Stegostoma tigrinum: one gene and its partners. The protein of the gene in region 1 purifies or fractionates together with the protein of each later gene. This does not show direct contact. Links are inferred from orthologs where the notes say so. Each region holds a gene or a part of one and is shown in the gene's direction. Other genes may lie near its edges.

What was found.
Region 2: the proteins of snrpe (region 1) and ddx46 purify together in Homo sapiens (co-immunoprecipitation; 3 studies listed by BioGRID and IntAct, counting the BioPlex papers as one, with this or other methods). This does not show direct contact. The link is inferred for Stegostoma tigrinum from reciprocal best matches to the Homo sapiens genes SNRPE and DDX46.
Region 3: the proteins of snrpe (region 1) and prkrip1 purify together in Homo sapiens (co-immunoprecipitation; 3 studies listed by BioGRID and IntAct, counting the BioPlex papers as one, with this or other methods). This does not show direct contact. The link is inferred for Stegostoma tigrinum from reciprocal best matches to the Homo sapiens genes SNRPE and PRKRIP1.
Region 4: the proteins of snrpe (region 1) and snrpa purify together in Homo sapiens (co-immunoprecipitation; 4 studies listed by BioGRID and IntAct, counting the BioPlex papers as one, with this or other methods). This does not show direct contact. The link is inferred for Stegostoma tigrinum from reciprocal best matches to the Homo sapiens genes SNRPE and SNRPA.

Annotation. Positions count from the first base shown.
Region 1 is NC_081374.1:11,214,704-11,222,189, reverse strand, and holds the start of snrpe (small nuclear ribonucleoprotein E), read left to right. Parts: upstream 1-4,472; 5' UTR 4,473-4,587; coding exon 4,588-4,641; intron 4,642-6,973; coding exon 6,974-7,000; intron 7,001-7,323; coding exon 7,324-7,386; intron 7,387-7,486. UniProt on the Homo sapiens protein: Plays a role in pre-mRNA splicing as a core component of the spliceosomal U1, U2, U4 and U5 small nuclear ribonucleoproteins (snRNPs), the building blocks of the spliceosome.
Region 2 is NC_081366.1:30,953,574-30,961,162, forward strand, and holds the start of ddx46 (probable ATP-dependent RNA helicase DDX46), read left to right. Parts: upstream 1-4,577; 5' UTR 4,578-4,682; coding exon 4,683-4,699; intron 4,700-7,589. UniProt on the Homo sapiens protein: Component of the 17S U2 SnRNP complex of the spliceosome, a large ribonucleoprotein complex that removes introns from transcribed pre-mRNAs.
Region 3 is NC_081380.1:2,597,346-2,604,947, forward strand, and holds the start of prkrip1 (PRKR-interacting protein 1 homolog), read left to right. Parts: upstream 1-4,594; 5' UTR 4,595-4,630; coding exon 4,631-4,741; intron 4,742-6,675; coding exon 6,676-6,754; intron 6,755-7,602.
Region 4 is NC_081392.1:9,170,243-9,177,222, reverse strand, and holds the start of snrpa (U1 small nuclear ribonucleoprotein A), read left to right. Parts: upstream 1-3,977; 5' UTR 3,978-4,161; exon of another isoform or gene 4,162-4,468; intron 4,469-4,510; exon of another isoform or gene 4,511-4,774; intron 4,775-5,647; 5' UTR 5,648-5,678; coding exon 5,679-5,751; intron 5,752-6,952; coding exon 6,953-6,980. Other genes in the region: actmap (actin maturation protease), read right to left, coding at 688-756, 2,399-2,637. UniProt on the Homo sapiens protein: Component of the spliceosomal U1 snRNP, which is essential for recognition of the pre-mRNA 5' splice-site and the subsequent assembly of the spliceosome. U1 snRNP is the first snRNP to interact with pre-mRNA.

The DNA of each region.
Region 1 (7,486 bases):
ACTAGCTTTCCTCACTTCTAATGAAGGGTCAACCTGATAGAGATAATAGGAACTGCAGATGCTGGAGAATCCAAGAAAGCAAGTTATAGAGCTGGATGAACACAGTAGGCCAAGCAGCATCATAGGAGCAAGGAGGCTGATGTTTCCTGCTCCTCTGATACTGCTTGGCCTGCTGTGTTCATCCAGCTCTACACCTTGTTACCTCGACCTGATAGATCTGCTTCATTACATGATTGGTGCCTGATCAGCTGTGAAGAAATTTTCTGTTCTTCGATCTGAGTAATAGTGAACAGTCATTTGTCTGAAAAATACAATGTCATTTCCCAGTGGTTGACTTCAGGATCACTGCATGTGGCAACTTTTAAGTCTGTACATGACACAAATTTGAGAAAGGTCGTAAACAAACTTATGGACTGGCGAAATGGGCAGATGTATGGTGGATGATATTTAACATATGAAGGTGAATTATTACATTTTGGTCAAAAGAAATACAAAGGCCAATTCAGGAACAGAAATTTGGACTGTCCATACATGTCTTTGAAAATAAAAAGCACAGAAAGCTATTAAAAAGACATGGAATTCTTTGCTTTATGAAAATGTCTTCTGCTCACAAACAGGCCCAGCTGGACTATTGAGTCTAATTCCATGGGCCGCATTATAGGAAGGAGATCTAGGCTTTCGGTGCAGAGGATCTTAATTAGTTTGATACCAGGGATGGAGAAATTAAACAAAATGTGAATTCAGTAAAGTCATTTATAACACCATGAAATATTTTGCTAGAATAACAGTAGGGGGACGCTTGATAACCGATCTAAAGTAACTGGTGAAAGAATCAGTAGTGACGGAAGGAGAAAAATTTAAAATACTGTGATTTATGTTCTATAATACACTATCTGAAAGGGTAAAGCTGGCACACTACAAACTTCCAAAAGAGAACTGGATATATGTGGGAAAGACTAGAGGGGTAGGATCAACTAAATAGCTTCCAACAACCTGAACACCTACCTTGTTGAACCTGACTACCCCCACCAGTTGCAGGGCATGCAGATTCACATTGGACTGCTAAGTCACCTCAGGATGCACAAATCAAAGCTGGAATAGCCCTCTGGAAATCAAGCCCTGCTAAAAGTTAAAAATGTTATCATAAGTTTCCAATTTTCCTGTCTGATCAACTCGTTGACAGAAAACATGAGCCAAACTCTCTACATAATGGGCTACTATTTTTTAGAATTGAATAGTTGTTTGTCTGTGGAGAGAATCAATGAAAAGCTGACATATAACTCTACTCTCTGATGAAGGGTCTAGGCCCAAAACGTCTGCTTTTGTGCTCCTGAGATGCTCCTTGGCCTGCTGTGTTCATCCAGCGTCACATTGTATCATCTTGGATTCTCCAGCATCTGCAGTTCCCATTATCTCTGATATAACTCTACTAACCGTTTTAATAAACACCTCCTACATACACATACATGCAAACAAAAATGACAGGTCTGGATGAAAGGGGATTGAATATTGGTGAAACAGTTCAAGGGCACCTATCTTCAGGACTCAATGGAGGAGTTCACTTTGTTTCCCAAGTCCTTTAGTTTTCTGAATTTATCCTTTAGGTTTTTCACTCCTTTATGGGAGGCACAGAGTGACTGATTCACAAATTAAAAGGTGTTTACCTTATTGGTTAAAAGCAATAGCTTATAGCAACTAATGAGATAAAGAAAAATGGCTTTCCTTAGCTTCAGGTATTTTACCGGCGAGAAACACACCACCTCCTCTTCCAGAGGTCTAATGGTTTCTCACTACTTGCTCAATGTAATAGTCAACCACAAATTGACCGGCATCCATAAACCAATCTGGTAGTTGTTAGGTCAATGATATTTAGCATCCATAACCGGTCGCAATTCCACAAACCAATCAGTTACTTGTCGCAGGCCAAAATCTTTGTACATGTGCCATTGTGCCACGCTATCTATTGACACCCTCCTTGAATGCACGCAAAGCAACAGTGTATCCATGACTTAAGACAGGTTCAGTAACTTGCTTTTAAAAGTATAGCAGTTTCTTCCTCAGTTGTTTGATGTAAAATAGTTCCCATTTCAATCCACAATCAAATATAATGTAACCTAAAAAGATAATCTCTTACATTACTGAGTAGAAAGAAATCATCCTTGGTCTCAAGGGTCTGGTTGAGAGGAAGTTTCGTTTTCTGAACAGTCAGGTTGAATTCAAATGTTTATCTGCTTTCTTACCACATGTGCTGTCATACCTGCTTATTTTCTCCAACACTTTTTGTTGCGTGAACAGCAGACCAAAATTGCAACGATGTCACAAAGTTACACATCACTGAATGTAAATAGCACATTGAGGGCATGGTTAGAACACAATGTATTACACCTCATTATACTACACTAGATTAGAACTTTAGAGTCTGGAAAGCATATGGACATGGACACAACAAAGATTAGTCCTTACCTAACATAATAATTCAGAGCCTTATTTATCTATGATTAGCATAAACAGCAGCATTTAACATGTAATGAACACGGAAATATAGAAAATAGCACAAAAGGCTATTGGGGTCTTTGAACCTGCTCTGGCATTCAGTATGATCAATAGTGTTGATCTGAAGTCTAAGTCTCAAATAGTCCTAGGCGTTGCCTTGTCTTCAATCAGTCTATGAAGAATACAGCGTTAATGGTGAGGCATCGAACCAGACAATAAGGAAGTGCTGATGATAAAACAAGACACATTTTGTCAGAAGTTTTCTTCTTGCACTCATTGAGAAGAAACATTAATTCCATGGGAAAACCAACATTCATCTGTTTGGGAGGAGGGTGCTAAAGGATGGATACATTGGCAAAGAAATTAATGCAACAAATAACTATCAGCTACAGTTAACTGCCAGCCACGGTTTAAATTTTAAACCAGATAGGTTGAAAGAATAAATATCTGTAAATGTTAGTTCAGTTTCCCTGGCCCCACTAAAAAAAAACAGATAATGCTGTTAATGAGAGATAATGGGAACTGCAGATGCTGGAGAATTCCAAGATAATAAAATGTGAGGCTGGATAAACACAGCAGGACAAGCAGCATCTCAGGAGCACAAAAGCTGACGTTTCGGGCCTAGACCCTTCATCACAGAGGGGGATGGGGTGAGGGAACTGGAATAAATAGGGAGAGAGGGGGAGGCGGACCGAAGATGGAGAGTAAAGAAGATAGGTGGAGAGGAGAGTATAGGTGGGGAGGGGATGGGTCAGTCCAGGGAAGACGGACAGGTCAAGGAGGTGGGATGAGGTTAGTAGGTAGGAGATGGAGGTGCGGCTGGGGTGGGAGGAAGGGATGGGTGATAGTAAGAACAGGTTAGGGAGGCAGAGACAGGTTGGACTGGTTTTGGGATGCAGTGGGTGGAGGGGAAGAGCTGGGCTGGTTGTGTGGTGCAGTGGGGGGAGGGGACGAACTGGGCTGGATTTGGGATGCGGTGGGGGAAGGGGAGATTTTGAAGCTGGTGAAGTCCACATTGATACCATTGGGCTGCAGGGTTCCCAAGCGGAATATGAGTTGCTGTTCCTGCAACCTTTGGGTGGCATCATTGTGGCACTGCAGGAGGCCCATGATGGACATGTCATCTAAAGAATGGGAGGGGGAGTGGAAATGGTTTGCGACTGGGAGGTGCAGTTGTTTATTGCGAACCGAGCGGAGGTGTTCTGCAAAGCGATCCCCAAGCCTCCGCTTGGTTTCCCCAATGTAGAGGAAGCCACACCGGGTACAGTGGATGCCTCCTGCAGTGCCACAATGATGCCACCCGAAGGTTGCAGGAACAGCAACTCATATTCCGCTTGGGAACCCTGCAGCCCAATGGCATCAATGTGGACTTCACCAGCTTCAAAATCTCCCCTTCCCCTACCGCATCCCAAAACCAGCCCAGTTTGTCCCCTCCCCGCACTGCACCACACAACCAGCCCAGCTCTTCCCCCCCACCCACTGCATCCCAAAACCAGCCCAGCCTGTTTCTGCCTCCCTAACCTGTTCTTCCTCTCACCCATCCCTTCCTCCCACACCAAGCCGCACCTCCATTTCCTACCTACTAACCTCATCCCACCTCCTTGACCTGTCCGTTTTCCCTGGACTGACCTATCCCCTCCCTACCTCCCCACCTACACTCTCTCCACCTATCTTCTTTACTCTCCATCTTCGGTCCGCCTCCCCCGCTCTCCCTATTTATTCCAGAACCCTCTCCCCATCCCTCTCTCTGATGAAGGGTCTAGGCCCGAAACGTCAGCTTTTGTGCTCCTGAGATGCTGCTTGGCCTGCTGTGTTCATCCAGCTTCACACTTTGTTATCTTGGATTCTCCAGCATCTGCAGTTCCCATTGTCACTGCTCTTAGTATCAGATGCCGCCTCCACGTTACCATAGCAGCAAGGGCCCCGCCTCCTCGTTACCATAGCAGCGGGGGCCCGCCTCTTCCCGAACGCGCCGCGCCGTGCTGGGGAAGGTCAGAGGTCACGGTGCGTGAAGCGGGAGCCGCCATTTTGTCTCCATTTTCTTTTTGTGTTTTCCCCCCTTCTTGAGGCGGTCGCCGGGTCGGAGCCGAAGTCATGGCGTACCGCGGGCAGGCGCAGAAAGTGCAGAAAGTGATGGTGCAGCCCATTGTATCCTTTCGGCGGGTGGGGAGGTGTTCGGATCTGAGGAGGGAGGGAGGGAGGGAGGATCGGCCCGTGACTGGGCGCCCCGGGCTCGGGCCTGAACCCGAGACTCCGGACCGGATCCTGTGCCCAGGCTTGCACCCGGCCTCGGGGCCTACACCCTGCCTGCCTCTCTTCTCTTGCCTTCCCTTCTCTCTCTTTCTTTCCCTGTCTGTCTCTGAGGCCTCCTCCCTGGGTCTATCCACCGTGCGATGGACGGCGAGCGGCTCCTCACAACAAGCTCCATGTGCCGCCCGCCTTCGTGCTCAGCCCCATTGAACAACGGCTTTTTAAATCGTTTTGTTTTAAAGTTATGGTCGTCCCGTGTTTTGTGGAGCCTCGGGCTGAGAGGGCCCGTTACCCTTGGGAAGTCAGAACAATGAGAGACGACCTTATTAAAATCTATGGGATTTTTGGCGTATTTGACAGGGAAGATGCAGAAAAGGTTGTATTAACTTGTGGGAAAGTCAAGGAGCATAGGGTATAACCTCTCACCGTAAGGGGTCGTACATTTGAGACAGAGATGAGGAGGAATTTCTCCAAGATGGCAGTGAATCTGTAGAATTCTTTATAGCAGAGAACTATGCAGTCTGTGGCATTGAGTGTACTAGAGATTGAGAAAGATTTTTAATCGGGCAAGGAAATCCAGGGTAACCGGGGTAAAGGCAGCATAACAAAGTTGAGGAAGGATCACTCGATCTGAAACACTAACTTTGATTTTTCTCTGCAGATTCTGCCAGACCTGTGAGCTTTTTCAGCAGTTTGTTTCTGTTGCTGAAGGTTCTCACATCAGCCATGCTCTCGTTTAATGGCAGAATTGTCATTGGGCTGGATAGCCTATTTCTGCTCTTGTCTTGTGGGAATTGTTCAAATTAGTGAATTGATGCAGCATGGTTTGTTGAGGTGGGGTTTTCAGCAGCGTAAGGCAATCGCTCAGCGGTTTTCTGTGGAGGGCCCTCACCAAATATGGTTGACATATAAGTAGCACCTTTAACATAGTATAAAACCAGGCCGCTTTACAGGAGCGTTACTGGACAAAATTTGTGTCCATGACATTTGACATATTTGGTTAACTGGCAAACTCCTTGTGAAAGAGGTAGACTTTGTGGTGTGTCAGAACGGGGAGAGTGCAGGGAAGTGGAGTTGAAATGCTGATCAGCCATGATTTAAATGGCAGCGTAGACTCGATGGGCCGAATGGCCTTACTTCCACTCCTATGTATTATGGTCTTGTAGAAAGGAGGAAAGTGAAGTAGGAATACAAGACTCTTGAGCAGCTGAATATGTGCAGTCATAAATAGCAATATAACCATAATTAAGGATGCTCAAGAGGCTCGAATCAGATGAGGGCAGACATTTGTACGGTTGAGCAAGATTACCTGCAGGAACTTTATAACAAGGATGAAAGTTTTCACATTGCAACATTTGTTTGACCAGGAGTTTTAATAAATTGATTGAATGTAGGATTGGTGGATTGAATGCATTATACAAACCTTTGAATTGAAGTTAAATACTACAGGATAAATTAAGTATAGTTGCTATGCATCATTTTGAATCTAGTTTATTATACTACCATTGTGAATCTCAATATTTGTAAGAGCAATTTTTGGTATAATAGTGTTATCCTGTTGTTATATCCTTGCTCAAGTGAAGGTACCAAGTGCACGTTATTGCAATGTTGCTGTATTCACAGGAGAATTTTGAATGTGGGCTTGGGAGCCTTATTGGGTGGAAACTTTTGTAAACATACTGAATCTAAACTATCAGGCAAATTAGATTTGGTCATTATACATGTGCACAGTCTCAGATGCGAATGTCACCTAGGTAGTGGAATAGCTGTCAGTACAAATTTGGAAGAACTGTTTCAGTGATCTTTGTAAGAGCTAGGCATGGACGTGACTTCGGTATTTAATTTTAAAGGCTAAGGAGAGAAATTCCACTGGAGTTTATCTTTCCTGATCCTCCAGGAAGTGCATTCTAGACACACTAGTTTGTGAATGTGGGATGAGGATAACATTGAGTTTATGATGGTGTGCAGTTGAATAGATTGTAGATAATTACTTGAGCGACATAATTAATGGCCATTTTAGAAAAGACGCCAATGTTCATGTCTATCAATAAACACATCAATACTGTAGCTGTAAACGGTTTTGAGGTAGGTATTATGCATCATTTTTTCATTAGATTGGTGACCATACCACAGACTGGTTATAGATAGCATGTGAGGGATACGCAGATCTTATAATGGAGATGTTCATTATATAATTTATAAATGTTGTCCTTAACTGAACGTGCAACAGAATCTTATTTTCAGGTACCTTCAGAATGTAAGTAAAGCTGTTTACTTTTAATATTTTACATAATTAATCATCATGGTAATGGTGTTTATCATACCTGTTAAGTGAATGCAGTTTATTAATGACTTTGCTGCAGTAATTCAGCAAAGGGCTGATTAAATCTCAACTTAATTGCAGCTCTCTTACTAAGTCAGAAGTCATGAGTTCATACCCACTCCAGAGACCTGAACACAGTCTTTTCTGACTCTAATACATGACTGAGGGAGCATTGCACAGCTTAGAGGCACTGTTTTATTCAAACTCGTTGGAAATAATTTGTTTCTGACTTGAATTACCTTTTTCCTTTACTCTAGAGATCCAGGATCCAAGTATGGTTATATGAACAAGTCAACATGAGGATAGAAGGCTGTATAATTGTAAGTATGAAAATTAGCCTGGAGTTCTGATGTGCAGTTAATTGACTTTTCACAATTCAGTCAGGCTGCTTTGGCTGACAGTTGACCAGCAAACCTGAAG
Region 2 (7,589 bases), on another chromosome or scaffold:
TTCTTGCCATGAGGTTCTCATGTATCAAACTCACTTCCTTAACTACCTACCCCACATATATTGCCCCTCTTGTACAACTCTAGCCCTATTCTATCACTTGCTATTCCTGGAACAGTTTGCCATTGCCAGGATATTCTGAAACAAACTAACATGCTGCCAAGGATAAATTGTCTCCCTATTTTGAGGGCAGGGTCTTGGAAGTCCTAGTCAACAAATGATGCAGACGAGTGAAGTTTTCTTTCCCCAGGCCCAGCAGTGGAGGCCACAATATCAGACCCTATTGGTCTGGTTTTAACATTACCACCCAGGTCAGTCTAGATAAATCCACAGCCAACTAGGAAGAAGGTCAATGTCCTTCTTCATTCTACCAGCGTAAGTGCCACCACCTTCTCTCCAATGCATCACACTCAATCTATCTTGGCGACTGCACCCACCTCCCACTCTTATTACTGCCTGCAACATCTTCTGTCACTTGTTATTGCCCATCGCAATACCTGACAGCACGAACCATGTATGTCTTCTGCACTGCCTAAACACTCACTCGGGACACCTTGCTACCTGCATTAGTGTTACCCAATTTTATCCCCTTTTCACCTGCTCTTCTCTCATTCCAGGACGAAAATGGCCCACAGTGGGACAGGGAAGACCAAGTGGAGTGATGGGCTGTGATAGTCTCCTCATTCTCTATTTGGACAGGATTCTGATATTGACCACCCCAACAGACCAAGTAAACAGGTGGTGATGCATTGTGGCTCAGTTTATGAGCTGGGTGCATGTTGCTGAGAGCAAAGTATCCTTGCTGCAGTATTACTCTCATAATTACTATTGCATCGTGAAGTGCAACATTGAAATTCAAGAGCACTGTGCATGGATTAGAGGTGTGCCATGAGGCTTCTTCAAGGCTGGCACATTCTGGACACCAATGCCCATGGATATGGGGTGTACATTAGCATTGCCCATGAGATGCTGACAACTGTTCCCAACATGGAGGTTCTTCAGAGTGAGCAGTGAGCTGAAGTCACCAGGTACCTGCTTTGACTTGCATGTTGAATTATCTTGGTGACTAGTTTGCTCACAGTGGGTGGTAAATCAGGAAGCTGCAAATTTATAAGGTCAAACGTGCAGTTAATAACATCATTAACAAGCAGTACTCACCCCTGATAAATAATTTGCTTCTGTATAGCTAGAATTTTGCCTCAACACCCAGAATCTAGTTATAAGACGCAGCAGTTTTTCCCAACATGTCGCTTGTCTTGTGTGATTGTGGTAATTTCTTGCCATAGCCCATGGCATCCAGGCCCCTATTAGGTTGTGCCCCATGTCCGATTCTTCCTTTCCAATCATTTTTCTTGTATTTATCATTATCTCATCATCATTTCTCCTTCAGTTCTGATTTACTTTGAATGGATTCAGGTAAAATTCACTTAGAGAGTTGTGTATATCATAAGGAATGATCAAGCAAGGCCCAGTTGAGATTATGCAGGCAGCATGTAAACATCATGCCAGTGGGTCAATTCAATGATTGGGATTTGCTACACAGTACAAAATGCATGACCAACTCATGGTCACCAACAAGCTATTCTGGTCCACCCATATTGATATAATGGTCAAGAAAGCACAACAACCACTCTACTTCCTCAGGAAGCCAAGGAAATCCAACATGTTCACAAGGATTCTTACCAGTTTTTTACAGATACACCATAGAAAGCATCTTAACTGGATGCATCACAGCATGGCATGGCAACTGCTCTTTCCAAGGTTGCAAGAAGCTAGACAAAGTCATAAATACAGCCCAGTCCATCACACAAACCAGCCTCCCATTTCTTTGATTCCACCTGTACTTTTCGCTGCCTCAGGAAAGCAACCAACGTAATCACGTACGAATAGATTCTAGAACAGCTTCTTCCCCGCTATTATCAGACTTTTGAACAGACCTCTCAAATGTTAATGTTGATCTTTTGCTCCTTCTGCACCTTCTCTGAGGCTGTAACACTGTATCTGGCACTCTGTTCTGCTGCCCTGATACACTTTGTATGGTATGATCTGCCTGTGTAACACTCAAAACAATACTTCTCACTGTATTTTGGTACATGACAACAACCAATCAATCGACCAAATTGCAGCCAGACAGTATTTCTTAAAGGCAATCTGTTCTTCTTAAAGGGAGCAACTGGTGGAATTCTGTGCGAGAGGCTTTGAGGAAAGGATTAAAAATATCAATAAAACACAGTTCAGTGAAAGGGATTTTCTGAAAAGTAGTGGGAGGCTTTAATTTAAGGGATTGGAAAAAGTAGAATGGTTATGTCTTCACAGAGGGCCAGGATACCCTCAATGTACAACCTATGAAGGAAATGTGAGCATAAATGATCACATTATCAAATTCCAGAAGTCCAGTGCCCAGGACCTGACAGCAATGCTAGCAAACGTTCAATGGTCCCACATAAGTAAGCAAGGTCAATGAGTGTATCATTTAATGTCTCGTGTTATCCATCAACCTACCAACTCCTCACACTGTGTAATGCACACAACCCATTACTCTGCCACCAGGAATCTTTGGTATTCCTACACTCAAGCCCAATATTAGATGCTGCATTCATTCTCACACACTTATCAATAGGCTGGCAAAGCCTCCTTCTAATTTCACAAACCTACAGCTATTCAGTCATGTCAGGCATGTCACCCCAACTTGTTTAAGTATACTTACAGATATTCTTTCCTCTCTCCTGTAGGACAAGACAGCATATAGCAGAAGAGAGCAGCATAGACCTCACATGTAACAGGCAAACTTACAGCCCTTGAACCCTTCAGAGAGAAAACATTACACAGTAGTGATTGCGGACTTTGCATTCTGCAGTGTTGAGAATTCTTGGATGAAGGCATGCGCCTGTCTTACTCACTTTTAAAATCCCACCTCAGCCTTTCCTGCTGACATGTAGTGCAAACTGCAAAGGGTTTGAGCATGATTCTGCAGCTTTCCACTCAACACATTCCTTTACCTCACTTCAATCCTCCTCTTTTGCATTTCTACTTTCAGATACCCTAGATCTGCTACCTGACCAGTTAGTGGTGTCTCATTGCGAAGATGAGAGCAACAGCATGTTATAAAGAAATAATGTTACTGATAGGCTGACATAATGGCGCTGAATATAACTTAGAGGCATTAGCACTTTAGTGCACAAGTGGGCTGCAAAGCTTATAATGTTATAAGCCAAGCCAGAGGGAAAGAATAGCTCATGTGTCTACTCTCTGGAGAGTGAAATTGTGCATGACATCACAGATGAATCCTAAACATTGAAGATTACGAGCCTTCTTTCAGCCATGCTGCAGCCATTGCGACTACATATGAATACTCGGCCAGGCAAAGACACCTTCAAAACAGGCACCTAAGAAATGCAGCAGTGTGAATAATTTGATTTTGTACATATCATTGGAAATGCTGTCAGAGAAAGTTGTTTTAAAAAGACTTGCTCTGTGCTGTCTTTCATTTCAGGATTTAAGCCAAGAAGATGAAAAGACTCTGGACTTGTAAAACAATGATGATGTGGCAATGAGATTACCAAGGAACGAAAGTCTGAGAATCTGCTCAGAGACAACTCACCACCATCTGTTCCTCTTCTGCCTCTTCTTTTCCACATTGCCCACTCTGCTGACAGGGCCTGTGCCCTCATGAGGAAAAAGTTATAGACAATGCAATAGACCAACACAAATTTGTTAAATACTGAAAGGAATTTCAGACAATGGAACAGTTGTTCGTAACATTAATCATTTGTTCCACAATGTTATAAGCCTGCTATCAATTCGTGATCAGGTCCAACAGTCATAAGCCACATGCAAAGTCCTTGCCAACAAGCATCTTTGGTGCATCATTGTAATTCAAATATGGTATGGATGGTTGATTAATGCAGTAAGATTGCTGCCAGCAATGGGCTTTCATCAACTTGCTCTGTGACTGGGTACACACTAGCTACATTTTCAGTGAGTGTTAGCCCTTGCATTTGTGATGTATCCTGGAAGGTGTTTTCAGGGCCTTGAACAGTAAGGAGGGAAGAGGAGAATGGGCAAATGCTACACCTTCTGTGATTGCTTGAGAAGGTGCCATAGCGGGTGAGAGAGCATTCGGAGTGTTGCAGGAATGAACCAGGGCACCATGGAAGGAACTGTTCTTGTGGAATGCTGACAGTGAAGGAGAGTAAAGATGAGTTCAGCAGTCACATCCTGATGGAGGTGACAAAAATGGAGTAGGGTAATCCTTTGAATGCGGTGACCAGCAGCGTGGAAAGTAAGAACAAGCAGAGCCTTATTACTATTTGGGGAAAGAGGATAAGGGCTGAAGGCAAGAGGTGTGGGAGATGGGTCAGACCAGACTGAGGGGACCCTGAGACCGCGTTAAGTGCTCAAAGCAAACAAAATTGTTCTCACAAACTGTGGAACTGGATGGACATAGCAGGGCAAGCAGCATCTGTGCGGGTTCTCCACCGTCAGCAGTCCCCATTATCTCTAATACAAAATTTATCATCGGTCCCAATGAACGATAGTGTGGCATTAGGTCCTCCGGTCAGTCGGTGGCGTTGTTGCTGGAAGCCAAGAGGCTTTTTCTTTCTTCTTGGCGCTGTGCGCTCCTTCTTCATCGGATTGTGGCGAAGGTGGAGAGTTGCTGGTTTTGTTCTCTTTAATCGTTCGAAATGGGCAGAGAGTCCAGGTAGTGATAAATGTATTTCTCACTGCGGGTGGTTAATGGCGGGGAGAACAGTCTGACGGGCGGTAATGAGTGGTAGGGAGAAAGGCAGTTTAATGGAGTAGGCCTCAGACCTAGCAGTCACCCAGCCAGAACTCTCTGCATCGATTTATCGCCCCTTCTATACCACGATACTTTCCTCCACAGCACCTCCAGCAAAGGATAAACCGTCGGAATATTTCACTTTTTGAAAATCGCCTTTGTATATTTTCACGTCTGGTATTTGGTAGCCAGGAGGAGATATGTTTGCCACCTGTTGTGGTAGTGAACAAGGGGGCTTCAGATTCCTGATGGGTCCTGAGCAAGGGCAGTGGAAATTTCAAATCTAATCTGGTACCCCCGAGCTCAGGTGCACAGCTGGCACAATTTCTGTACCAGTTTAAAGGGGTACATGTATTTAGTTATTAGATGAAAATGGTTTTGGGAATGATTCGATAAATTTCGTGGTCACAAAATCAGTTATAGTTAAGTCGTTGCAAGTTCACATAGGGAACAACTTTGTAATTACACGCTATACCTTATCAGCTGTGTCTGAGTTAGATCGTTGTATGAGTTCAAGTCAAATTTCAAGACTTGAGCATCGAAATCCTGACTGACACGCAGCATTGAAGGAACATTTACAGACTAAGAGTTGTACACCACAGAAACATGTTTCAGTCCAACTCATCCATGCTGAACAGATTCCCTAAGTTAACCAAGAGCCATTTGTCAGCATTTGGCCCATATCCCTTGAAAGCCTTCCTATTCATATACCCATCTGGATGCCTTTTAAATGTTGTAATTGTACCAGCCTCCACCAGTTTTTCTGGCAGCTCACTTCATACATGCACCTCCCTTTTAAATCTTGTCCCCTCTCCCATCATCTCCTCTAGTTTTGGATCCTCCCAGCCTGGGAAAAGACTTTGACTATTCACCTTATCTAACCTGGTCAGTCCTTAGCCTCTGATGCTCCAGGGAAAATAGCCCCAGCCTAATTAGCCTCTCCCAATAGCTCAAACCCTCCAATCCAAGCAAAATCGTTGTAAATCTTTAATGGACCCGTTCAACAGGAAGACCAGAATTGTATACAGTATTCTAAAAATGGCCTAACCAATGCCCTGGACAGCTGCAACATGACCTCCCAATTCTTATACAAATGCACTGACCAATAAAAGCAAGCATACAAAATGCTGCCTTCACTACCCTGTTTACCTTCAAAGAATTATGAACCTGTTTGGCAACACTTCCCAGACCCTAAATAATGCATAAGTCCTGAGATAAGAAGGTGTAGAGCTGGATGAACACAACAGGCGGAGCAGGAAGGCAGACGTTTCGGACTAGACCCTTCTTCATTTTCTGAGGTCTAGGCCGGAAACGTCAGCCTTCCTGCTCCTCTGATGCTGTTTGGCCTGCTGTTCATCCAGCTCTGCACCTTGTTATCTCAGATTCTCCAGCATCTGCATTCTTGCTATCTCTAAAGCCTAAGTCCTGACCTGATTTACATTATACCACATGTTTATCTAAATGAATTTCCATTTGCTACTCCTCAGCTCATCGGCCTATCTGATCAAGGCCCCATTGTACTCCGAGATATCCTTCTTCAGAATTCACTACACCACTAATTTTGGTGTCATCTGCAAACTTACTAGCCATTCTTGTATTCAGATCCAAATCATTTATTTAAAAGGGAAAACATTGTCAGAGGTGCTAACTTTTGTTAACTTGAGGACTAGCCTGCTCTTCTGAGCAGAATGGCACAGGGAATTGGCTGTAGTGTCATGCTGGTATTTAATGTGCAGCTAATATCTTAGAGCAGAGTGGTAATGACCACATTGTTCTCTATGCGACAGTTTGCTATACACAAACTGGCTGCTCTGATTTTTTTATATTCACTCATCGGACATGGGCATCACTGGCTGGCCAACATTTATTGCCCTCGAGAATGTGGTGGTGAGCTGCCTTCTTAAACTGCTGCTGTCCATGTTACTGTAAGTTGACCCAAAATGCTGTTGTGGTGGGAATTCCAGGATTTTGGTGCAGCAACAGTAAAGGAATAGCCATATATTTCCATGTCAGAATGGTGAGCAGCTTGGAGGGGAACTTGCAGGTGGTGATGTTCCCATGTATTTGCTGCCCTTGTCCTTTGAGATGGAAATGGTATTCAGTTTGGTGCTGACTAAAGATCTTTGGTTAATTTCTGCAGTGCATCTTGTATATAGTGCACACTGTTGCTATTGAGCATTGCTGATGGAGGGAGTGGATGCTTGTGAATGTTGTGCCAATCGAGTTTTCTCCTGGACGCTGTCAAGCTTCTTGAGCGTTGTTGGAGCTGCATCCATCCAGGCAAGTGGGGAATATTCCATCGCACTCCTAACTTGTGCCGTGTAGGTAATGGACAGGCTTTAGGAAGTCAGGAGGTGAATTTCTTGCCACAGTATTCTTAGCCTCTGACCTACCTTCGTGGCCACTGTGTTTATGTGAGAAGTCCAGTTGAGTTTCAGTTGTAATCCCAACGATGTTCAAGAAAGACGTGGAATCCTTGGAAAAGGCACAGAGGAGATTTACCAGGATGTTTCCTGGAATGGAGGAAAGGTCTTACGAGGAAAGGTTGAGAGAGCTAGGGCTTTTCTCTTTAGAACGACGAAGGACGAGAGGTGACTTGATAGAAAAGTACAAAATGATCAGAGGTACAGATAGAGTAGACAGCCAGAGACTATTTTCTTGGGTGGAGGTAGCTATTACAGGGGGCATAGTTTTAAAGCAAGTGGAGGTAGATACAGGGGAGATGTCAGAGGTCTTTACTCCTTGGCCCATCGTGCATTGATGTTTTAACTTTACCCAATCATGACTCCAGATGACTTGGAAATAGCTTAAT
Region 3 (7,602 bases), on another chromosome or scaffold:
GTAAACTCCACACAGGCAGTCACCCAAGGGTGGATTTGAACCCAGGTCCCTGGTGCTGTGAGACTGCAGTGCTAACCACTGAGCCACCGTTCCGCCCCAAAATATATCATTAACAACTGGGGCCTAAGCACTGATCTCTATTTTCTCTATTCATTCACAGGATGAGGGTGTCACTGACTAGACAGCATCTATTGCCCATCATTAATTACCCAGAGGGCAGTTCAGAGCCAACCACATTGCTGTGGGTCTGAAGTCACATGTAGGCCAGACCAGGCAAGGATGGCAGCTTCCTTCCCTAAAGGACCCAGATGGATTTTTCTGACAATCAACAATGGATTCATGGTCATCATTAGAGTCTTAATCCCAGATATTTATTGAATTCAAATTCCACCATTTGCCATGGTGGGTTTTGAATCTGAATCCCCAGAACGTTATCTAAATCTCCGGATTAACAGTCCAGCGATAATACCAGTAGGCCATCACCTCCCACCTTGCAGTACCCCACAAGTCACTGCCTGCTGCTTGGAAAAGACCCAGTTATTCCCACTTCCTGTTTCCTGTCAGTCATTAATTTTTGATCCATTTTTATATATTAGCCCCTGTAAATGTGCCTTAATGATGTCCACTGCCTTGAATCTAGATGGGCGTTGCCTTGCACACCTGCTGTGATATCCAGGAATTGACTGATATCCCTAGTATTGGTGCCATCTTTACCCAGGTTTTCTGGGGCTACTGTGCACAATTCCTAACATTTGTCCTGGACACAGCACAGAAGTGCAAAATGGTGCCCCACTTGCTGGCAGGGACCTGAGGTTCTGGTGCCCAGAATTGGACACCACAACTCCAGACCATGTCAGCCTGGATGAGGTTGACACTCACGTTTTAGAATCATCGAATCATACTGTAGAGAACAGGCCCTTCAGCCCATCGGGTCTACACTGACAAAAACTACTCTAAATCTACACGACTCTTACTTTCTAGCACTTGGTCCATTGTCTTGAACTTAAAGTGTTCATCCAAGTACTTTGTAAATGTTGTGAAATTTTCCATCTCTACAATGTTGTCAGGCAGTGCAATTCAGAACTCTGCATCACTCTTGTTTTCCCCAAATCCCCTGTAAACCTCCTGCCTTTCACTTAATATTGTGCCCCTTTGTTCTTGATTCTTCAATTAAAGAGAACAGCTGCTTTCTATCAATCTGTCCATACCCCTCATAATCCTGTACACCTCAACCTTCTCTGCTCTGAAGAGAACTATCTAAGCTTATCCTTCCTCCCTTCATAGCTGGAATGTTCCATCCAAGGCAACATTCTGGTCAATCTCCTCTGCACTCCATCCTAGTGTCCAGAATTGCACACTGTATTCTTGCCAAGGCCTAACCAAAGTTCTGTACAGCCACGATATAATCTCCTTGTTTTTATAATCTATGCCAGGACTGAGATGTCCTGTATACCTTCTTAACTACCTTATTAATCTGCTCTGCACATTTAGGAATCTGTGGGTCAAGCACCTCACCCCCCCAACCACTGCCCCCGCCTAGATCCCTCAGTTTGTCTGAGCTTTCCAGTCTCCTAATTTTTATTGAGAACTCCCTTGTCTTGTTTCTCCTTCCAAAGTGCATCACCTCACTCTTATCAGCGTTGATTACCCTTTGTCACTGAACTGCTCATCTGATCAATCCATCCATATCATCCTGTAACCTAAAATCTTCTTCCTCACTGTCAACCAATCAGCCAGTCTTCACATCATCCTCAAACTCATTGTTTCCCCAAAGTTTTCTGCTACACTGTTATATATACATATTACAAATAATAAGCTACCCTGCACTGACCCCTGTGGTAGCTAGCCACTGCACACCGGCCTCCAGTAACCTTAACAGCCTTCTACCACCGCCCTCTGTCTCCTGTCACTAAACCAACTTCGGATCCAACTTGCCACATTATCCTGGGTCCCGTGTGCTTTTACCTTCTTTATCAGTTTCCAATGTGGGCCACTCAAAGGCTTTGCTGAATCCATATAAACTACATCAACTGCATTAAACTCACCTACACACTTGGTCATTCCCTTGAAAAGTTCAATGAAATTTGTTTGGCAAACTTCTGCCTGACAAAGCCATATTAACTATCCCTGACCAGCCCTTGCAACTCCAGGTGAAGATTAATTCTCTCCTTTAGAATTTTCTCCAGTGGTTTCCCTCCTGTTGATATAATTCCCTGGTTTATCTTTGCCTTGCTTTTAAAGTGGAATATTAGCGATCCTCTAGTCCTTTTAGCGTCTCCCAGGGGCCAGGCAGAAATTTAAAACTTTGGGTCAAAGCTCCTGTAATTTCTTCCCTCATCTCTGATAGCAGCCTAGGATACAACTGATTCAGAGGTGGTGGAACTAATGTATGAAGAGAGACTGGATCAATTAAAACTGTTTACAGGGGATTTAAGGAAAAACTCATTCACCTAGAGGGTGGTGGGAATCTGGACTGCACTGCCTGTGAAGGTAGTTGAGTCAATCTTTAAAATGTACACGGATAAGCACTTGAAATTTCATAACATTCAAGGCTATGGGCCAGGTGCTAGACAGCGGATTGCATATAGATAGGTTGGCACAAACTCAATGGGCTGAATGGCCTCTTCTGCACTGTATGATTCAAAGGAGTTTTGTGAAATGAAAAATTCTAATCAGATCAGACAAGGTAACTGCAGGAAGGAACAAAAACAAAGTTGCTGGAATGGCTCAGCATCTGTGAAGGAGAAAACATAGTTAACGTTTCGGGTCTGGGAAAACATCAGTTTATATGCAGAAAATAGGAAGTTGGGTGGGGCAAGGAGTAAACGATAGGATAGAGGCCGAAGAGAGAAAGACAGTTGGACAGACAAAGAAGTTCCTAACGATCAGGCCAGAAGGGTGAATAGTTGTTAATGGGGGCTGTTAGTGACTAACAACAGTGGGTGTGTAATGGCAGGCTATTTGGTAACAAAGCCTGCTGTGTGGAGTGGGCTGCTGGGACATGGGAGATTTGGGCCCTAAAATTATTGAATTCAATACTGAGTCCGGCGGGCTGTAGGGTCCCCAAGCAGAAAATGAGGTGTTGTTCCTCCAGCTTGTGTTGTGTTGCTTCCTTCACCCCCAACACCTCCCCACAGCACTACGGCGCCTTTCCCTGTAACTGGCTTCCCCCTCCCCACCCCCTCAGTCTGTACTGACTTCCACCCCGCCCCCTCAGTCTGTCCATTTACGTCCTCCCTTCCCCAGTATCCAAGGACCCAAACATACCTTCCAGGTGAAGCAACACTTCACCTGCACTTCCCAGAATCTCGTCTACTTCATTCGCTGCTCACAATGTAGTCTCCTCTACACTGGGGGAAATCGAAGTGTAGACTTGGCGACTGCTTTGCAGAACATCTACGTTCTCCTCGCAAAAAAGGCCCTGAACTACCTGTTGCTTGCAACTTCAGTGCACCACCCTGCTCCCTGGCCATCATCTGTCTCTGGCTTGCCACAGTGTTCCAGTGAATACCAACGCAAGCTGGAGAAACAACACCTCACCCTCCCAGCCGGATTGTTATCAATTCCTTTGTCCAGCTGTCTTTCTCTTTGGGCTCTATCCTATCGTTTACTCCCTACACCACCCACCTCCCTATTGTCTGCATATAAACAGATGTTTTTCCAGCCGCCATCAGTTCTGAGGAAGGGTCAATGGACCCAAAACGTTACTCTGTTTTCCCTTTCACAGATACTGCCAGGCCTGCTGAGCTTTTCCAGCAACTTTGTTTTTGTTCCTGATTTACAGCATCCGCAGTTCTTTTGGTTTTTATTTAAATACAGGAAGGATGTTGCCAATGACCAGTCGGTCACAGTCTAAGCACACCCGGTAGGCTATTTAAAACTGGGATGAGGAGAAATCTCTTCAACCAGAACTGTGGGCTTCTCTGCAACAGAAAATGGTTGAGGCCAAAACATTGAAGAAGTTAGATATAATTCCTCGGACTAAAGGGATTGAAGGGTATGGGGAGAAAGTGGGGACAGAATTGATGATAAGCTACGATGATATAGGAATGGTGGAACAGTTTTAATGGCCAAGAATCAGTACAGACCTGGGAAGGGGGGTGGGGGAAGAATCAGCACAGACTCTCGGCGCTTGGGGCGGGGGAAGGGGATGGGGAAATCAGCGCAGGCTTGAGGGAGCACGCTGCTAGCCTCTTCTGAAATAGGTCAGCGATTCACCTCCATGGTGGACAAAAAAAGTATAAAACTAAGACAGAAATTGCTGGAGAAACTGAGCAGGTCTGGCAGCACCCATGGAGACAAAACACAAGTAACATTTCGAATCCAGTGACTCTTCATCAGAGCGTGGAATCGTAACCCGTTAACTCTGTATCTTTCCCCACAGTTGGGTTTTGTGTCTGCAACGTGACCTCTCCACAATCAACAACCACCACACAGGGGCCCCGTTACTCTAAGAGGTAGTGAAGAATTGAAGATTAAAACCCCGATTTGTCCCGGAGGTGCACACCTACCGAATGAAGGGGCCGATTGACGAGAAACACAACGCTTATCACCCGGGGAGACCGGGGGCGAACGTCATCGCCGCGCGCCCGACTGGTGTTCAACGTCATCGCCGCGCGTCCGGCGGGAGATGGCGGACGGCGGTAAGCGGCCGCAGAAGAAGGCGGCTCAGCAGCTTGTCATCCCGCGCAGTGCGGCTGAGGAGCAGCGTTTGAAGCTGGAGCGGTTAATGAAGAATCCGGTTAGTAAAACCAGGGCCTGAGAGGAGGGGAGAAAGAAAGAAACAGCGGGCGTGGGGGAGGAGATGCGATACCGACACACACACACACACACACACACACACACACACACACACACACACACACACAGTTCTCGTGTGTGTGTGTGTGTGAACAAAAGCTTACAATTCCACCGAGGGTTGTATCATCGACAAAACTGATGTATCTGTTTCTTAGTCCAAGTTATTAATGTGGATTATAAGTGCTTCAGAGCTCTGTTAATCCTTGTGGCATTCTACTAATTACAGCCCTCCCAACTGACCCATTGCCCCTCCTCTCTGCGAGGTGTGTACCAAGCAATCAGCCACTCTCTTGTATTCACTCTCCTTTCATAAATGATAATGTTACACTTACTAACTTAAGGTTATTAGGTCTTTTCTGGATCCTTGAAAACTCGTAGCCAGTGCGTCCATTGCCTCTGTGTCTCTCTTTTTGAACCCAAGGACATAAGCTAGTGGATCCTGTGCGTTGTTGGGTTTTAGTCGCTTAATTTTCTCCAACATATTTTCTGTTAATGGGTACTTCAGGTTCCTTACATTTATTAGTCTCTTGGCTATCCTCCATTTATGGTATGAGTTGTTTCTTGTGTGTTTCCCCCCGTTCATTTACTGTCATGTTTTTAGTCTATTTAGCCAGTCAACTACAGCCAGCTCTACCATTTAATTTGCTTTAAGTTGAAAATTCTTATTTGGGACTACAGTAGTGAGTTTCAAACGTAGTGTGGAATTCAATGTTATGGTCATCCAGCTATTCTGAAGATGAATCACTGGCCTTGATACGTTGACACGTGCTTTCTGTCCCAAAGATGCTGCCAGATCTACTGAGTGTCTCCACTATTTCTGTTTTTGTCTGATTTCCAGCCCATGTAGTTCTTTTTTTTAACATAATGAACATTAGTAAATTAGGTTTAGAATTATTTGTTGAACTTAAGGAAGGGGTGAGTGGCAATGGGGACGAGATGGCGTGAGAATTCAGTGTTACCATAAGACCACCAGACAGGAGTAGACTGTTCAGTTGCTTGACCCTGCTCTGCCATTCAGTGAGTTTGTTGCTGATCTGATAGTCCTCACGTCCATTTTCCATTATTTTTCCTGTAATCCTTGATTCTTCTATTGATCAAGAAATCTAACTATCTTAGCCTAAATATACACAAGGGCTATGCCTCCACAGCTGTCTGTAGATAGATAGTCCAAAGACTATCAACCCTCTGAGAGAAGAAATTCTCATCTAGTTTAAACTGGCACTTTTAATTCTGAGACTGTACTGTCTGGCCCTAGACCCTCCCGTACTAGGAGAAAATTCTCTTAGCATTTACTTTTTCCAGTCCCTCAAGAAACCTGTATGATTCCATGCAATTCCTCCTTATTCTAAAATTCCAGTGAATAGACTCCCAATCTGTTTAGCCTTTGCTCATAAAGTAATCCCTCCTACCCAGGGCTTATTCAAGTGAAGCTTCTCTGAACTGCCTCCAATTAAATCAAATCTCTCCTTAAATAGGGGGAACAAAATTGCTCGCAGTCCTCCTAAATGTAGTCTCACCAGCACCTTCTACGGTTGCAGTGAAACTTTCCTACTGTTATATTCCAATCCCCATGAAATAAGAAACAACACTCCTTCCTGATTACCTGCTGCACCTATGTGGTAGCTTTCTGTGTCTCTTTGTGTTGCAGATTTCTGCAGTTTCTGTCCATTTAAGTATCATGATGTGTTTTTGATCTCCCTTTTGTGATGAACAACTTCACATTTTCCCACAATCTATGCGTTAAGTGAGAAGCAAGGGCAATTTTGCCAACAGAATGAATTTCTGCGCTTTTCTGGACCCTATGATAAATTGTGTGTGTAGGTATCAGTTTGAAATGTTTGATATTAACGAAAGTTTTGCACAAATTTCTTGTAGGAGAAGCAAGTGCCAATATTGGAAAAACCCAAAGACTGGGCTCCACGGCCACCACCAGAATTTGTTCGTGATGTCATGGGTAAATGTTGGTCTTTATCAATATTTTTGCTGGCTCTTTATGTTCCAGTCCCCTCTTTTCTAAAGCAATAAATTCCATTGAGGTTCCTGTACCTTTCCAAGTGATCTTTCTTCAGACTGTGTCAAGAGTCTGTGTAGCCCAAAAGCCGGTTCTGAAAAAAGACGACATTGCACAAAACCTGTTGGACTATAATCTGGTGTCGTGAGATTTCTGGCTTTGTCCACTGCAGTTCAACATTGGCACCTCCACAACATGAAACAGGATCTGTCTCCACAGAAACATTACTACATTTTAGATACTGAGGAATATGTAAAATGATGTACACTGAAGTTTGTTGAAAGGGCATTCAGACTTTTAGGGAGCACAATAGCTGTATGCAATCTTTCTGATACACTCAGTAACCCCTCACAGGAGATGACCCTGACCATGGATCAGTACTAACCAGCTAATGATTGGATGCTGCAGCCCAGTTCACTTCTCTCCTCTTCTTCACCTCTGCTTCTTCCTCCCAAAGCTGCCACCACCCTCCAAACCTGTTTGAATCCCAGTGGTGTCAGATAAACACATGAATAGGAGCCAGAGGAGGTCATTCAGGCCCTCAAGTCCGCTCTGCCATTCAGTAAGATCATGGCTGATCTGACGTAACCCTGCCTCCACATTCCCACCTATCCTAATAATTTTTTAACTTATTCTTTGAGAAAATCTATCCACCTCTGCCATAAAAAAATTCAAAGCCTCTGCTCCTACCACCTTTTCAGGAAGAAAATTTCAAAGAGCTGGGACCTTCAGAGTAAAAGTTACCTAACCGCTAAATGGGTGGCCTGTGAGTTTTTAAACAGTGAGCCCAT
Region 4 (6,980 bases), on another chromosome or scaffold:
GCAATTGCAGTTTATAGGCAGAAGAAAGGTCCACAGCACAGCACACAATGCAATCTCACATGCAGGCATGAGATGAATGGCAGTCAATCTGCTTTGGGAATTAGTTGAAGGTTGAATATTGGCTAGGACACAGGGAAAAAGCACCCACACTTGGCAGATTATGGAAGGCAGCATTTATAGGTGAGAGAAAAACAGAAAAACTACCCGTGTTCTGATGAAAGGTCATGGAACAGAAACATTAAATCTGTTCCACCAGAGGTGATGCCAGACATTGCCAACATTTTCTATTTCATAGAATCCCTACAGTGTGGAAACAGGCTATTCAGCCCAACAAGTCCACATAGACCCTCTGAAGAGCATTCCACCCAGGCCCATTCCCTCTACCCTATCTCTGTAATCCTGCATTTCCTGTTGTTAACCCACCTAGCCTGCACATCCCTGAACACAATGGGAAATTTAGCATGGCCAATCCACCTAACCTGCACATCTCGGGACTGTGGAAGGAAAGTGGAGTACCTGGCGGGAAACCATGTAGACACGGGGAGGATGTGCAAGTTCCAGTTGCCTTAGGATAGAATTGAACCTGTGTCCCAGGCACTGTGTGGCAGCAGTGCTAACCGCTGAGCCTCTGTGCCCCCATTTCTGCCAGTATGCACCAATGTAGAGAAACCAGAATTAGATACTTACTGTGGACCATCCTGGATCAGCGAGGGTACATATTTATTAATAAGGAGCCATTGCAAATCTTTGTTGAAGCTGGAAATATGAGAAAATCAGAAAAATGTTCAGCCATTGGAAAAGAATCTATCACTTGATAGCACACTTGGGCTCTGATATTAAACTGCAATAGTACATGAGGATGCACTGTTAACCTATAATAACACATAAAGGATGCATTGCTTAGTCTATAAGAGGGCAGTAACTTGGCCAAGCCATTAACTTCGCACAGTATACAGAGTGTTACAACCAAGATTGGAGCGGGGCATCAATTTCCCTTTAGTCCCACTCCTCCACTGGTCATAATGAATTTTAAACTGTGTGGTGATATGGCCAATTCAATAGGCTTTACATTGTATCTGACTTAGTGCTAGAAATAATTCAGCCAGTTTCTTAAGTTAACAATTAATACCTAGTTTATTACAAATAAAACTTACTCAGACAAAAGTGTAAATGTAAACATCAAAAGTGATTGAGTCAGATCCCATGGATTACTCAGCAACTACCTACCCACCCCTCCCCGCTCTCAGGATGTCAGTGACATTGTGGGTTACTAAGTCTCATTTTAAGACTTCACTGTTGAAGAACTGGCCTTTAAAGTACATCAAAAACTACTCCATCATGCATTGCCTCAATGATTGCTCAGTTTCTGGTAGCTCACCACCTGTTCCAGGAGTGACACTCCTCTGGATTCTGGAAACCACACTCTAGCATCGTCACAGGTGCAAATGCATCTTTTTTCGTGGACAGCTAGCTTTATCAAGTTAGTACCGCCCTTGATTTATTTTTCCTGAGCTCTAACATTTGTCAGTTGTACAAAGTGTTACTTGTGGGTTTCCATAACCTTGCTCACAACTGTATTGAAATATTAATGGCACGTGGCTTTTTCCAAGGTCTCTCAGCCCCTAGGACGTACCTGAAGACCAAACTCCAACACATAGCTGTACCGACAATCCTAGATCTCTTTCCTGAGTTTTGACCGCAGAGTTATTCGACTGTGTTTGACTTCTCAGAGATGTTTTTAGGAAGTTGTACTACACTTGAAATGTTAATTGTGTCTCTCTACAGATTACAGAATCCCTACAATATGGATGCAGGCCATTCGGCCAACTGAAGCCACATCAACCCTCCAAAGATGCAGTTGTTCATTAACATGCGGAAGGAAGCAGAACACCATTGCTTCAATTAGAAATCACATTGATGATGTTGCCTAGAAGGGTAACAGAATGTCTGCACACCACAGAACAACCAGCTCAGTGCGCTAATGAACAACTGCATCCACAACCCGAGCTACAAATTTTCGCTAAGACCTTAAAAACCATTTAAAGAGTATCCCACCCAGACCTCGCCTATCCCTCCATTTCCCATAGCTAATCCATGTCTGGACACTATGGGCAATTTAGCATGGCCAATCCATCTAAACTGCATGTCTTTGGCCAGTGGGAGGAAACTGGAAACCCATGCAGACATGGGGAAGAATATGCAAACTCCAGACAGTCACCCAATGCTAGAATCGAATCCAGGTCCCTGTCGCTGTGAGGCCACTATGCCACCCATATGCTGCCAGAACTGCTAGGTTTCTCCAGCACTTCTTGTGTTTCAGGTTTCCAGCATCTCCAGAATCTTGCTCTTATTTAAACAACTGTGACAAACATGGCTCATAATTTTTAGTTTTATATACCTGTTAGGCCTGCTCTGGACCAGCAACTTCACCTCCTCCCAGTCTCCAGTTACTGGTAATCGGTCTTGAGCAAAAATCTGGTATAATTTATTTTGTGATGGTTCAGAAGGAGGGGACAGAAAGGGTGGAGGGAGGGGGGGAGGAGGAGGAGGGACTGACAAATAGTCTGTACCATCAGATGTGTCACTGATGAGATTTTGCTCTCCTTGTGCCATTTCAACATGATGGAGGTGGGACATGGCAGCCCACTATTTAACGTTTGGCTTTGACTTGATAAATTGGAGCATCCCACAACAATTTTTACGAGTAAGTTGCCTCAGTAACTAGTACACCAAGGGTCAGAGATACTGTTGTAATATTTGCCTTGGAGGAAAAAAAATCATTATCATTTATCACTTATTGTTCCAGAAAATATTTGTCTTTTATATTTAATGGGGGAGTTAGGGGCAGGAGATGGGGTGAGTGGTGGAGGATTTGGGAAAGTAGTCTCAGTGGGAGTAATGAAGACTCCATGTTGAGGGAGAAGGGGGGCATGGAATAACTGCATGACATTCAACAATTTAAGAAAAATGATGTGAGGTCCATCAGGAAATCACAGACCCGTTACTATCTGCTGTCAATAAATTGCCTGAATCCACAAATTCAAAATTTCTGAGCATAGAGCCAGCACAGATTTATAAAGGGTTAGATAGCAGGGAATAGTGCTAGTTGTAACAAGGACTGGATTTGCAGAAAAGAAATCAACACAGAAGAGTGGGCGAACAGTGGTTGGAAGCTGGGTCAGTTGAGGTAGAACTGGTATGGGACATGGGGTAATTTGGGGATGAAGTAATTAGGGAATGGGATGGCTGGATGGAGAAACAGTAGTTAGGGAAGGGGTCGATTAGGGATGGTCAGGGAAAATGAAATCATTTGAGGGATGGAGTAGTTGTGAAGGGGTGAGGCAGGGGTATTTTGAGGTGTTGGAGGCAGGGTGGGATGATTGGGGTTGTATAGTTAGGTAGAGTGGAGTGATTCGGGTATTGTGGAGAGTAACGGGGCACTTTGGGGTGAGGTGTGATTTTTATTGTGGGATTGGACTGTGCAGTTTGGGGAGGGGTGGAATGGTTGGAGTAGTTTGGGATGTAACTGAGGGATGGGAATAGTTGGTAAGGTGGCTTTTGGGGTGAGATTGGAGTTGGATCGCTGGGGAGGTTGGAGGGCGATTGGTGATGGGGTGGAATGGTTTTTGGGGAGAGGGAGGGGATTGAGGTGGGTTGGGGTTATTTGAGGTGTTTGGTGTTGGGGAGTGTCGGATAGGGGAATAAAGTAATTGGGGGATAGGATGGATGCAAGTGTGTGTGGGGTACTTAGGAAAGCGGAGGGTCGGGAATTACTGAACACGTTCTAGAACATTCCGTCCCTGAATCCCACTCTACATCCCGCGATTGGCCACGGTGGAATGGCCAATTTGATTGACACCGGTCTAGTCCAATCAGTTCTCTCAGATCGGGTCTGTGCTGTTGAATGGACCCAGACCGTTAGCGAGTCACTGATTCCCCTCTCCCGCCCTCTTAGCCGCTCCTTCTCGATCTCTGTTTCTGTTTCTGTCCTTTCTCACTCCCCGCCGGAGCCCGAAACGTCAGCTTTTGTGCTCCTGAGATGCTGCTTGGCCTGCTGTGTTCATCCAGCCTCACATTTTATTAGCTGGGGAAACCATCCGGGTCCCGCGGGGACACCGACCCTCCCGCCTTCGTCTGATTGACGGGACCGCGGACAAATCGGTGAGCGGCCCCGCACCAGGGCCGGCCAATGGGAGCTGGCCGCGGGGTGAGGGGGTTGGACTTCCGTCGTGGCGCGCGGTGCTGGCGGTTAGGGCCCGCGACCATCCGCTGCCATCCCCCAGCGTTTAGAGCCGGCGGCCGCCCGCAGTTAGCCTGATCGTCTCTGTGTGCGGGAGCTCGCATCGCGTCGCACGGTCGGTTCTTTAGAGCCGCGGTCTCACCAGGTTCGTACGGAGCAGCCTGCGGCGGAACCACGGGTTAAAGCTTCCGCCGACGGGCGGTAGCTTCCGGTTCAGGGCCGATGGAGGTAAAGAGAGGGCGGAGGGTTGGCTGAGAGGGAGAGAGTAGGCCAGGGGTAAAGGGTGAAGGGTGGTAAGGCAAAAGGGAGGGCTGAGTGGCTAAAGGAATGTGAGAGAGGTTGAGTTGATGGGTGGGCGTCTAAGGATACAGCGTATGCCAGAGGAGACTGAGATGATGAGAAATTCCTCCACCCGCAGACTGCTACTACTGTGGTTTTCTGTGGTACAGAAAACAGGCCAAAATACTACGTTTCAAGAAGGAGTTGGATTTGGTGATTTGGGCTAAAGGGATCAAAGGACATGGGGAGGGAAAGGTAGGGTCAGGTTGTAGAGTTTGATGATCAGATGTGGTTGTAGAGAATTGTGCAGCAGGCTTGAAGGGCCGAATGGCCTCCGCCTGTTTTTTATGTTCGTGCACAGAGGGGGCTGTGTGAGCTCTCAGAAGGAGAGGGGGGTAGGCTGACCTTTCCCTCAGAGGTGGGGGAGAGAAGGGGCTGTCTTGCTTCTCAGAGCGGGTGAGCTTGGATGAAGGATGTGAGAGAAGGGGTTGTTTAGTAATCCTGTCTCTGGGTAACGGGCAAAGGAAGGACAATACGTACTCTTAACTTTGGGATCTAGGATGGGGTGTGCTTGAGTTGCTTTAGAGCAATTTAGGGATGTGACTTACATTTCTACCACTTATAGCCACACATTGGGCTGCAGTCCTTTGAATCTGGGAGCGGTGTTAGCGGATGAGAATGGATACGTTTGGCAGCCACCTTTTGTCAGCTTTGGTTCTGCACAGTAACCACATGTAATGCTAGCATGCTGAGCAGCATTTCCTCTCAAAGTGTGTATACAACCACAGTGATTAGTGTTGTTTTGCTGATCAAGACATTGACTTCCAATTCTGGAAGTTGCTGCTGCATTGAGGCTTTGGAAGTTCAGGCAGCCATTAAAACAATTAAGGAGTGTGGTGCTGAACTACAGTGAACAGGTTGAATTCTGCTGATCATCCTTGGTCTGGACTATCAAACCTTTTAAGATTTATTGAATGTCACAGCTTGCCATTGTTGATTTTGAGCTCATGATTTCTGAGTTGAGTTCAACTCTGAGATTTGCCATAATGAAGTTAGAGAGAGGTTTATTTCTTTTGAAGAGTGACATCTATGAGACTGACTTTCACTTGTGCTCATTTCCCCCCTCAGTTTTAATTTTAGTTAGCGCAAGAGTAGAGCCATGACTACCCAAGAGGCCCGTCCAAACCACACCATCTACATCAACAATTTGAATGAGAAGATCAAGAAAGATGGCAAGTATTCAGGGATAGTTCTGGTTCAGCAGTGTATTCGGGTATGTTTGGGTTGGGGACTTCGAGAGCATTAGTGGGGTCTAAGACAATAAATGCTGGCACAGTTAGCAAAGTGTGTACTGAGAGTGAATTTTAACAAACTGCTCCTCATCCCCTCATGTTTATTTAGTTTCTTAAAGGAAATTTCTCTCAACTATCCCTGCGGTGGGAAGTTCTGACTAAGCATAGCTTAAAACAACTTTCTCCCAGTTTCTTTATTGGAATTATTAATAAGTACCATGTATGACCCGTTGTTTCGGAGTGTTCAACAGCCATATGCAAGGACTGTTATAGAGTCGTACAGCATGGAAACAGGCCCTTTGATCCAACTCGTCCATGTGACCCAAATTTCCCAAACTGAACTAGTTCCAACTAACTCCTTTTGGCCAATATCCCTCTAAACCTTTCCCATTCATGTACCTGTCAAAATGCCTTTTGATTTATACATTTAAAAGGCATCCTGAAGGGTATGTGAACAAGAACGGTTTACAGGGAAATGGGTCTAGATTAATTTAGGGTATCTAGTCAGCGCGGACGAGTTGGACCAAAGGATCTGCTGCCATGCTGTACATCTCTATGACTCTGTGTTGTAACTGTACCTGGATTTGCAGCAGTTGCCGTTGAGTCCCTTCAAATCAGGCAGTTGTCTATTTTGTTGAATATGTCCCAAATGTTAAAGACCATAGTGCTAAAGATGACCCCTCCCTGGCTCTAGCCTCTTTGTAGAAAAAAGAGCCCCAGTCTGCCAGTCATCTCTAACACAAACATATCATTTAGTGTGAGTTAACCACTCAACCCCTAAAGTCTGTTCATTCTTTCAATAAGATCATGGGTGATCTGATAACTCCACTTTGCTTACCCACAAAACCCACTCTCCAAATATGGTGTCTCCAATGCCCTGTATAAATGAAGCATAACTTTGTTTTGTAACTATAACCATGGTTCTGGTGTCATTCTTGCAAAGCTTTGTTTGCATCTTCTGTATTGTTTTTGTAAGAGGTTGACTGGGCTTTGCACAATATGACATTATGAATCAACCGCATTTACTGGACATTCATGAACTTGAATTGTGGTTTCAAGTTCACGTTCAAGTCTGGTCGCAATTGTACTTGTGACTGATTTGAAACTGAAGTTGATTGTGTTATGTTTCTTCTCTTTCTAGAGTTGAAGAAATCGCTGTATGCCATTTT